3 linked regions of the Callithrix jacchus genome follow. The protein of the gene in region 1 interacts with the protein of each later gene in a biochemical or structural test. Links are inferred from orthologs where the notes say so. Each region holds a gene or a part of one and is shown on either strand. Other genes may lie near its edges. The genes, in order: AGO2, TNRC6A and DICER1.

The links.
Region 2: the proteins of AGO2 (region 1) and TNRC6A form a complex in vitro, tested with the Homo sapiens proteins (2 studies listed by BioGRID). The link is inferred for Callithrix jacchus from reciprocal best matches to the Homo sapiens genes AGO2 and TNRC6A.
Region 3: the proteins of AGO2 (region 1) and DICER1 form a complex in vitro, tested with the Homo sapiens proteins (2 studies listed by BioGRID and IntAct). The link is inferred for Callithrix jacchus from reciprocal best matches to the Homo sapiens genes AGO2 and DICER1.

The regions. Positions count from the first base shown.
Region 1 is NC_133517.1:56,993,503-56,997,152, reverse strand, and holds part of AGO2 (protein argonaute-2), read right to left. Parts: intron 2,764-3,650; coding exon 2,604-2,763; intron 1-2,603.
Region 2 is NC_133513.1:25,409,216-25,412,865, forward strand, and holds part of TNRC6A (trinucleotide repeat-containing gene 6A protein), read left to right. Parts: intron 1-5; coding exon 6-146; intron 147-1,744; coding exon 1,745-1,852; intron 1,853-3,254; coding exon 3,255-3,476; intron 3,477-3,650.
Region 3 is NC_133509.1:129,909,983-129,913,632, forward strand, and holds part of DICER1 (endoribonuclease Dicer), read right to left. Parts: intron 3,280-3,650; coding exon 2,391-3,279; intron 730-2,390; coding exon 461-729; intron 1-460. UniProt on the Homo sapiens protein: Double-stranded RNA (dsRNA) endoribonuclease playing a central role in short dsRNA-mediated post-transcriptional gene silencing.

The sequences.
Region 1 (3,650 bases):
TACCACATACCCCTGGCAGCAAAACTACCCCACGGAGAACTTTCAGACCCTGAGTGTATCCCAGTGGAGGCTTCCTCGGGAGGCAACTGGCGAGGAAGCAGGGACAGGCACATGGGCCTCGGGCTCTCTGGGGAAAGGCCAAGGCTGACAGCCCCTCCCTCTGGGCACTGCTGCCGGGTTGAGAGTGCACTGCCTTGCACCCCACCCAACCTTGCCTGGGAGCTGCAGGCAACGTCAGGAAGCATCAGAAGTGGCCGCTCTGCCAGCCCTGCCTGTTGGAAATGGCACACGGGAGCCCTCGCCTCTGCTGCCCTCTCCAGGCATCCATGTCCCCACGTGCTTGTGACTCACTACCCGCCCACACTCTCCAGCAGAGCTCCCTGAGTCAGCCAAACTCATCACTGCTCACGCTGGCTCCCAGGCCCCTGCTAGTCAGACGTGCCCTTGGCCACGGCAACAAGGCTCCTCTTCCCAAGGTCACCAGTGACCTCAGCATCACACAGACCCACGGCCATACCTCCAGCCTCGCTGCGTCTGGCTGGACACAGGACACACTTCCTTTGGTGCCTAGGGCCCTTCGCCTGGCCTCCCCACCCCAGCCTCTCCCATCTCCGCTGCTGGTTCCTCCCACTCCAGGCCTTGAACTCCAGCCTTCTCCAAGGCCCAGGGCTTGGAGTACCACCTGTCTGCTTGAGGATTCTTGGATCCTGTCTCCCCTGACGCCAGCCTCCTGGTTCCCAATGTCCACTCATCATCTGCGCTCAGATGCTCCGCAGAGCCCTCGGGGTCCAGTTTACCCACGTCTGGTGCTCACCCTCCCAACAGCCGCTCTGTCTAATGCCGACGGAGTCTCTCCTGCAGTCCAGGCCAAGAGCCTAGATTTTTCCTTCAGGCACAGCCCAATCCAACCTGCCAGAAAGCCCTGGGGCTCTCTCTTCAAAACAGCTCAGAGTCCAGGTGCTCCCTCCCCTGTCCCCCTGCTCTGGCCTGGACAGGCCACCAGCCCCTCTCAGCTACATGGAGCCAGAGCTGGCCACACTGTTAGACAGGTGCCTCCGGATGGCCCCAGCGGACTGGAGGGAGACTTAGTTCCCCAGTGGCCCCCGGGCTGCACATGGGCGGGCCTGTCTCCCATTTGCCCTCACGGCCCTCCCACAGCTCTGCTGTGCACCTGCCGCCTGTGTGATAGGCTCATGATCATCTCACCTGGGTGCCTCCACCAGGATTTCTGGCCCTGTGCTGCCCAATTATGGCCCAGACTCCCTGCACACAGCAGGCACTCAATAAATACAGAACCTGTGGACTAAGGAGCAGCACTTTCAGTTCCCAGGCAGCTCCGGATTGGTCTTCGCTCATTCCCACGAAACTGTCTCACCGCAGGGCCTGTGCCCACGCCCACAGCCATCCGACTTGGAATCGGGGTTCTTCCCACGGTATCACCCTGCTCCCTGATGAATTCAACGGACTGTTTCCAGGAGTGTGTAACTCGGTGGCCCTCAAAGCCTGGACCCGCATGCAGCAGCATCGGCACTGCGTGTCCACTTGCTAGGGGTGGAAATTCCTGACCCCGATCAGTCCTGCTGAGTAGGACACTCTGGCAATGAGCCCCGCTGGGGTTCCGGTGTGAGGACACTGTGACCCAGCACAGGCCTGTGCACACAGCAGGGGCTCACTACCGCCCACTTGCCAAATACAGAGGGTCATTGCCTTAAGGCAGTTCAATTTAGGATTCTTAACTCTGTGATGGTGAGAGCGAAGCGGATTTAGCGCCCTGACTGGCTTAGGATGCCTTTCTCACATGAGCCCCACTGTGACTGCGAGCTCCAGCAGGTCCACGCCACAGGGGCTGCCCACAGCCTCCATGGTTCCCTTCTGCACAAATGCGCATGTTATCTGATTCTACGTATTCTCTATTGTTGTCATCCAAATGGTAAGACAACTGCCAGGATTGGTAAAGATGCTGGTCATCATGGAGACGTCTTTCTCGCCTATATCACAGGTTGGTGGCCTCAGAGGAGGGGAAGAAGCAAGCCCCGGCCCCCCCCGGACTGGATGCTTAGTGGGTCAGGAGGTGCCCAAGAGGGTGCAGCTCCATCACTCCCCACACCGTCAGCCCTGAGCCTCTGAGGCAGGCAGGTGGCCACACGTCCTGCCCTGGCCTGGGAGCTGCCAACAACAGTGTGTCCCATGAGGAGCTTTCAGTCCAAAGTCCCAGCATCCATCCATCCATGGTTGCAGCATCCATGCCCAGCCTAGTGTGGGAAGCATGGGGGTCCCTGGTCCACACAGCAGTTACTACTATGGAGTGGGAAGCCCATCTCCTGGTCCCTTGAGGCATGCCCTGCTCTGCCTTGCCCACTGGCATTCGAGGGGTGAATTTCTGTGCCTGGAAACCCAGCCACAGTGCTCAAGCTCCTGCAGATGCCCCTGGCCTCTAGCAGAGCGTGAGCAGCCAGATCTATGTCAGGTATCTTTTCTCTGCTGTGGTCAGGACAGCGCTAGCCCAGGTGAAGGAACCCTGCCCCGCTGCACACCGCACCCCACCCAGCCAGGAGTCCCACGGTGCCTGCTCTGCAGGTGGACGGGAAGGCTCCGGGCCTCACCTGCCCTGGGGCAGCAGGATGTTGTTCACGCCTCCCAGCTTGACGTTGATCTTCAGACAGAGGTTGGACAGGGTCTGTGGCGTGGTCCTCTGCACATTCTTCATCTGCACACACTGTGTGGCCATCCCCAGTACTGTGTCTCCCACACGCTTGACCTCGGCTAAGGGACACAAGAGGCACACACACAGCTCTGCTGATGCCCCTTCCTCATCTGGCCGCGAGCATGGCAGCTGCCACCAGCCCTCTCACCCCCATCTGGCAGTGCAACCACAGCAACTGTGCTGGGCTTTGTGTGTCCCCCTCTGTCCAAGGTCAGCAACAGAAGAGGGTCACTGGCCCCGAGAGGGACCCTGTGCTCCTTGGAGTCCAGGCTCCAGCACGGCCGTGCCCACCTCGCTCAGGCCAGGCTTCCCCTCCTCCCTCAGGAAGGGAAGCTGGGTGAGTCGAACTCATCCCTGCAGTTTATGAAACAAAACCATTTAAACTCCTAATCCAGGGCCCCAGAGCAAGAGAGAAAGAGCCCAGCTACAAGGAAGGACCTAGAAAGGCCACTCACACTGGCCAGGCGTGATGGCTTATGCCTGTAATCCCAGCACTCTGAGAGGCTGAGGCAGGCAGATCACCTGGGGCCAGGAATTTGAGACCCCGTCTCTTCTAATAAAACAAAAATTAGCCAGACATGGTGGCATGTGCCTGTAATCCCAGCTACTTGGGAGGTTGAGCCGGGAGAATCACTTGAACACAGGAGGCGGAGGCTGCAGTGAGCCAAAATCACACCACTGTACTCCAGGCTAGGAAACAGCCAGCCCTTGTCTCAATTAAAAAAAAAAGAAAAACAAAAAAAAGGAAGGCCACTCACACCACGGTGCCCTGGCTGCAAGCAAATGCTGGGTGGTTAAAAATAAAAACACTGGCACCCTCAAAATCCTTGGCAGATGTAAACCTGACATCAAAGAGCTCCATGGCTCCCCCCACGCCCCAGCTATTCCTGGCCTCTTTCATGAAGCAACTGGTCAGCTGCTCACTGGGCAGCCTGGGAAACAGCGA
Region 2 (3,650 bases), on another chromosome or scaffold:
TCCAGAATTTCGTCCTGGTGAGCCATGGAAAGGTTATCCAAACATTGACCCTGAAACTGACCCTTACGTCACTCCTGGCAGTGTCATAAACAATCTTTCAATTAATACTGTGCGGGAAGTTGACCACCTCAGGGACAGGAACAGTGGTACGTAGGGGTGCAGATCAATTTCTGAGTGAGAATTAACAACACAGTTTAAAAATGGTTCATGTAGTACCAGCTATTCTGGGAGACTTGAGACAGGAGGATTGCTTGAGCCCAGGAGCTTGAGGTTAGCCTGGGCAACATGGTGTGGGACCCTGTCTCTTTTAAAAAAAAAAAGAAGAAGAAGAATGGCAAACAATTCCCTATTTTCCCATAGGTGGCTTTTTAATTTGGCTACTTTTTAAATGATGAAGATTTCATCATCCTTAGTATGGCAAACATGTTATGTTAATTTAATAAGTTAACATGAAGGACCAGCAAACCTTTGCTTGCCAGTAATTGTGTTAACTGAATGACAAAACAACAAATGAAGTTATATACTAACTTGATACTGAGTTACAAGATTATGATTATTTAAAAAACAAGGCCTTATACTTAACTATTGTATATATTTATATACTCTGAATATTGAAGCACTTTTGTCTGGAAGAGCAAATTAAACTGTCTCAGAGAGTAAGAATAAGACCAATCTAAGGATCCCTGCAGTCCAGATGTGCTTTTTAATTGGTTAACAAATAACATTATCCTATTACCTGCCACAGTTACTTTTCACCTCAGGGCATTTACATGTGTTTCATCCATGATTTTGTACCAGAGGACTGTTAATGAAATGAATTTTTTAGATATTAAAAAATACTTTCTTTTTAAAATACCATCTTTACTTTTATAAAGCAAATGTGAAGCAGCCACCATGTTGCTTTAGACATGTAATTTGCTAAGGTAACAAGTGTCTCTGCACCAGCAGAGGAGAGTCCTCAGCATTGTGAAGAGTGTATTCCACAGACAGCTCTGCCCACTTTGAGGGACACTAAGCCAAGCATAAATTCTCACAGCATGGGAGTTAATTGAAGAATCTGATGGCCTATAGAAAGGCTCTGAAAGTCAGGAGAGTTTGGATTTGATGTTAAATCAAATAGAGCATTGACGGCTTTGAGTGGAAGAATCTTTAAGATGGGGTAATCTGGCTGTGGTCAGCAGAGTGGTTTGGGTTGGTAGACCAGGCAGGGAACTGGTATAGTCATCCAGATGGTGGTCAGGTCTAGAGCTCAACTAGAGTAATACTGAAGGGGGTTTTTAAAATGGAAAGCAACACCAGGTTTGGGAGCCTGAATATAGCGAGTAATGGAGACGGCTGAAGGCTCAGCTCACTGGCAGTGCCTGTGACTAGGTGCCTTAGAGAGCAGGCTAGCCAGTAAGACGTCCCTGGATCCCAGGGGCAAGTTAGGAGCAGCAAGACTCAAACCTCCTTTTAGACCCAGTGCTGGGAAGCAGAGCCCAAGTGCTGTCTTGAGTGGCTGCACCTCATTGCTAGAATGCATCCTCAAAGCCAGTGAGAACAAAATCAGAGGGAAAATGCCTGTGCCGAGCCAAGGCAGAGACAGCTGGTGAGCTTGCTCAGCATGCTCTTTTGAAGGCAAGAAGGAAGATGTCTCAGGCATCACCTTGTTTCCTTTCTTGTGGCATACTGTTAGACCTCGATTTCTCTGGAAGCTTTTGCTTTTTCTTGCTCTGGTGTCTGATTGGACTCTTCCCTCACTCAGGGTCATCCTCATCCTTGAACACCACGCTGCCTTCAACTAGTGCCTGGTCATCCATTCGTGCCTCCAACTACAACGTTCCCCTCAGCAGTACAGCACAAAGCACTTCAGGTGGGCCTCGCCTTCACTCGGGAAGGGAGGGTCATAGCCAAGGCCGCAGCTGTTGTTTTAATGCCCTCTTCTTTTTGTCCATAGTCTTCTCAGGGAGTTAAAAGGTTCTGTCGGTGAGCCTGGGAAATTATTTTTTAACATCGTTTATTCCTTTTTAAACTTACTGCACCCAGCGGTCATCTACTAAAATCAGTTTTCACTGAACCACTCTCACTCATCTGAGAGCCACAGCAGCTCTGTAATTAAATGTAATTTAATCCAAACTAGTTTTCAGACTATCTTCAGTGAAGGACCTTAAAAAAAATTGCCAGTGCTTATAGACTGATACTTTTGTAAAATACGGTAAACATGAACTCCAAATTGCTAGGAAAATGATGGCATATTGAGCTACAGGAATGTCAGGTTGCTATCGGTCTACACATGTGCACTCTGAATTTCTGGACTCATCCTGTGGCAGATTAATATGAAACTGTGTTGTGACTGCAGCCACACCCTGAGTAGCACTGACCTAATGCACATGCACTTTGTAAGTTAAGTAAGAAAAGAGTTGGTGGTGATGAAAGATAGGAATTGTTCCCCGCCCTTGCTGTCCCCTCATGCTTTTAGCATGACAGTTGATGTAGTTTACTGTGTACCTGGTCCCTGCATACCCACTCGTGTCCCCATTGCTTCAAGGCCGTGTGCATCAGGAACAGGCCTGCTGTCTTTTTCTTTTCTCTCTTTCCTTTCTTTTTTTACTCTCTTTCCTTTTCCTTTCCTTTCCTTTCTTCCTCCATTTTACTTTCCTTTCTTTCTTTTGCCATGCAGGCTTAGTTTTGAATCCTAGCTCTACATTAGACCCATAGACAAATTACTTACCCACTCTGTCCTCAGTAGACTGTGTCGAGATCACAGACAGCACATGCCAGGTGCCCAGCAGCCAATGCATGGCGCAGAAAGGCAGGCACCCCGTGAAGATCTCCTGTGACAGCTCCTTCGTTGGGGCTCTTTTGCAGTTCTTTCTTCCCTGAGTAAACAACAAAGTTCTAAAATTAAATGGCCTGACTTTCTTGAGTGACTCAATTACGGTTATTAAGAAGTTCACAATTGCTATTTTAGAGCAAGTCAAATTGTTTTCCATTTCACTCAGAGTACAGTTTTGAACACTGGCCTAGGAATTTCATAGGTCTTAAAACTATTAATAATGGATGAATGGCTTGAGTGTTTTGAGGGAGGGAAGCAGTTTCTTTCCTTTGGGCTGATTTTCTTTTTTCTCAGTGTAGTTTGATTTGGGGGTTTTAGTAGAGTTTCTTTTGTTTGTTAGATTTGCTTTCTGTGGGAGAATGGACGTCGTTATTATTTAAATTTCCTCCTTTCTTAAACATTATTCCTCCCCTCTCCATTTTTTTCCCCCTTTGAGTAGCCAGAAATAGTGATTCCAAATTGACATGGTCTCCTGGTTCAGTTACAAACACCTCTCTGGCTCATGAGCTGTGGAAGGTCCCTTTGCCACCTAAAAACATCACTGCTCCGTCCCGCCCACCTCCGGGACTGACTGGTCAGAAGCCACCCTTGTCTACGTGGGATAATTCTCCCCTTCGTGTAGGTGGAGGATGGGGAAATTCTGACGCCAGATATACCCCAGGTAAGATGCAGTACATAAGGTGGTTTCCTGTGGTTTATTTGCAGAACGCTAACCAGTACTAACAGTCGAATTTAATAGAGACCTGAACAGTAGACTATTGCGTTACCCTGTCGGGTGGAATGAGAACTCAAAGAAATGATCCACCCAAAGACACACAACAGGCCACAGTAAACT
Region 3 (3,650 bases), on another chromosome or scaffold:
AATTTAAAGTTTGTTTTTTAAATTAGATTTTCCCACTTCAAGTAGAAGCAGAATGTACATTTATAATGCTTCCCTGAGATATTAGCAAATATTTCTGATCCATTTAAAAAAGACAAAATGACACTGGGCTTTCACTAAAGTTAAACCTGCCTTGGGACCAGGCAGTGTAGGCCACTTCTTGGGCACGCCTCATGAAGGTGTGGGAAGAGTAAATAACTGAAAGGCCCCGGCTCCTTCTCTTCACCTGAGTGACCACACAGCCCACAGTGGGGGCAGACAAGTTTAAGAGGCCTACCTGCAAACTGCAGTTCACTCAGTGTTCCCCAGAGAACACACAGCACACTGAGTCCCACACTCCTGGTCCCGATGTCCCTTTACACTGCTATGCAGTCAGAACTCTGAAACTACTGCGACTCCTACTCAGACTGCTTTTTTCAACATAGTTTTGAACAGCACTAACCTCAGAATCCATTCCTTGCATTTCATTCTTCTCAAGCTGAAACTGCACAAAGTCATCGATTACATGGAAGAGCTCAGGAGAGACAGCTTTGAAGTACTTGTGGTAGTCATACTTCACAGCCAGCGATGCAAAGATGGTGTTGTTGACCAGGGCAGACCGCAGGTCCGTCAGGACCCCCGGGGAGTGCTGCCTCGGGTCTTCATAAAGGTGCTTGGTTATGAGGTAGTCCAAAATCGCATCTCCCAGGAATTCTAAGCGCTGGTAACAATCTGAGAGGATCCAAAGTGGAACCATGAGCTCTTGCAGAAGCATTTATACACTATCCCCACATATGCAACTGATCCCCAAATCCCAAAAAGATTTGCATTTATATTTTCATACATATATTCTTCAATAAGGAAACTGACATATGATACTTACTAAAAAGCATCTGGAAACTAAAATTTAGTGGCAAATTAAACATGTTTCTTATATAAATTAGGGTCATAAAATCTTCAAGTGGTCAAAAAACTAATGATTGCTAAGAAGGAAAAAAGAAAATCTCACAGGTGCTATCATGATCACTGAATGCTTTTCTCTGGCACTGAGCTGTCTGGGTAGGTGCTGGGGCCTTCCTCTCAAGTCTCCCTCACACATCATCACTTCAGTGAAACCAGGGCCGCACACATCTCCCCATGTGGCTATGCTGTGCTGCCATCGCTAAAGTCTCGTTTACACTCTAGAATGGGTGTATACCATTTCTGGTATACCATTCCTGGGTAATTTTTGTTAAACAGGATGACAGGAAAAGAAGACCCTCTTCTTAACTTGAGCTATTATAGCAATTAATTTACCACAAACCAAGAGATTGAGAAAGAAGAGTTGTGAAAGTGAGCAAAGGCAGGTAAACTGCTTGTCAAAATGTGAAAATCATTAATGTTAAATCAACCCCTCTATTTTCTAGCTTCTCACAGTGATTAAAATAATCCATTCAGCTGAAGAAACTGAGGCAGGCACAGATGGTGACCTGTCCCAGAATAAGCAGAGTTAAGAGGCAGAGACTATGCTAGGCTAGAACCCAGGTCTCAGAACTTCCAACAGAGTGAAGTCAAAAGCCACGCATCATTTCTTCATAATGAAAATTAGGCTTCAGTTTCAACAGTCTTTCTAGTCCAGAGTCACATCGTTTTTCACTTTTCAGTTTATATATTTTGCTGATCACCTTAACCTACATTGTTTTTGTTATACAAACTACAAACTTTGTACTTCGCTTTGGTATTCTGAATTCAGGCACTTCTTCTTATATAGAAATCTGTAAACGTCAGCTGTGTTTCACAAGCTGAAGCTGATTTGGGTCTGAGGGGCTTGTTCTCCCTTCTAATCTAGTGGATTGAGAGCCTATTAAAGGAGAGGAAAATAAAGAGCACAATGAGAAGTAGATGACAGCAGAGTCTCAGCAAGGCCCATTCAACCTTCTTGTGAAATCATTGCTTTTAATCTTTTAATCTATCCATCTCTAGAAAGACCCCAAGGGAGGGGTCTTTTTGTCCAGGAAGAACAAAAAAAGGCTGTGGAAATACATCCAGAATATACAACTAAATCAAGAACCAAAAGCAGCACTGAATGGGCAAGAGAAAGGTATTTGGAGGATAAAATGAGGAAAAACACACCAAAATACTAAGGCTCAAATTTCTCTAATTAGGCAGCATTAAAATGACGTTGATCAGGGCATATAAGACAGCCATACACCCAACAACCCAAGTTATAAAGCAATACGTACTCCCCAAATAACAAGGAAAATAAAGAATTCTTTTCCTTTTGTTCCCCCCATCCCTTGAATATTAAGCACCAACACTGTACACGCATACATCACTTTTTACAAGGCCAACACAACGCAATAAACACAAAGTCTCATTTTCCCAGAAATGAAGTTTGGTCGTGGGCTCCTTACCAGTGATAGTATTGTAGTGATAGGAGGCATGTGTAAAAGCCTGGAGAAGGTAAGCCTTATTCTTGAATCTGTAGTTGATTTTCTTTTCAAAATTTTCAAACCCCGATATAAGGTAATTCAGTGTTTTATCTGCATCTGGATGATCAAACATACATCTTGGTGGAATCTTCAAACAGCCATATTCCAAGTCTTTCAATACAGAAGAGCGTGAACTGGCCACAGAAGCAGCAGCACAGCTCACTGAAAGGTTCTTTTGTTGGTGGTTGAAATTCTCCCGAGTAGGGCACAGGGCCTTTTCCCGATCAGTCCTTTTAATTACCGGGAGCACCTTCAGCCCCAAAGAACAGAGGAAAAGCTGAGCAGCCCTCTCCCCACAGCTGGTTAAATAGCAGCCCAGCAGGGCTTCCACACAGTCCGCTATGCTTTTGTCAGCAATACACTGCTCAGTGTGCAAGTCGTAAGAAATGGACTGCTTTCCCGTGTCAACACCACAGTTTTCTTCTGATGGATTCCAGAACCCCACCACAAAGTCATCTTCTTCAACAGCTTTGCTAGGATCCAGATAGCACATTGCATCCCAAGAGCTATAGTCAAAATCCTCAAAATCTGATGAAAATGGCATACTACCTAAGGAGGATTTTTTGGGCATTTTCCATTCATATGCAGAATCAGTGGTTGAAAAAGGAGAAAGAGAGATTTTCTTTACAAAAGCCCCTGACCCCATTAACATGTTATCTATAAATCTAATATGTTCCTGATCGTACTCCAGGAAATCATCTTCACAGTCAGCCTCCTCCTTCGGAGCCCTCCACATCAGGCTCTCCTCCTCATCCTCCTCCTCCTCGTAGTCCTCATCCAGTTTGCCATTCGCCAGCATGCAGTCTTTTGTCTGAAACAAGGGAGAATGGGGAAGGAGGGGAGACATAGCTGCTGTTTGTAAAAGGGTTTGAAACTCAATAAAAGCAGGGGTTATGGATAATTTCAAATGACAACCACAAATACTAAAAGGCAACTTTAAAATCATGGCCATTTGTTTTCAATTAACATAAAATAAGTTATTTAATCATATAAACAAAGTAAAACATGTTCTTTGAATGTTCACCTCCTAAGTTATAAAATGACCTTTATCCAGTATGAAGCTTTAAGAATTCTGAACATGGATATAAAGTTAAAATTAATGTCCACAATGCAAAATTTCAACTAAGAAGTCTAACTCCAGCAGGACACACAATGAAAGCACTCATAAACTGATCACAGATA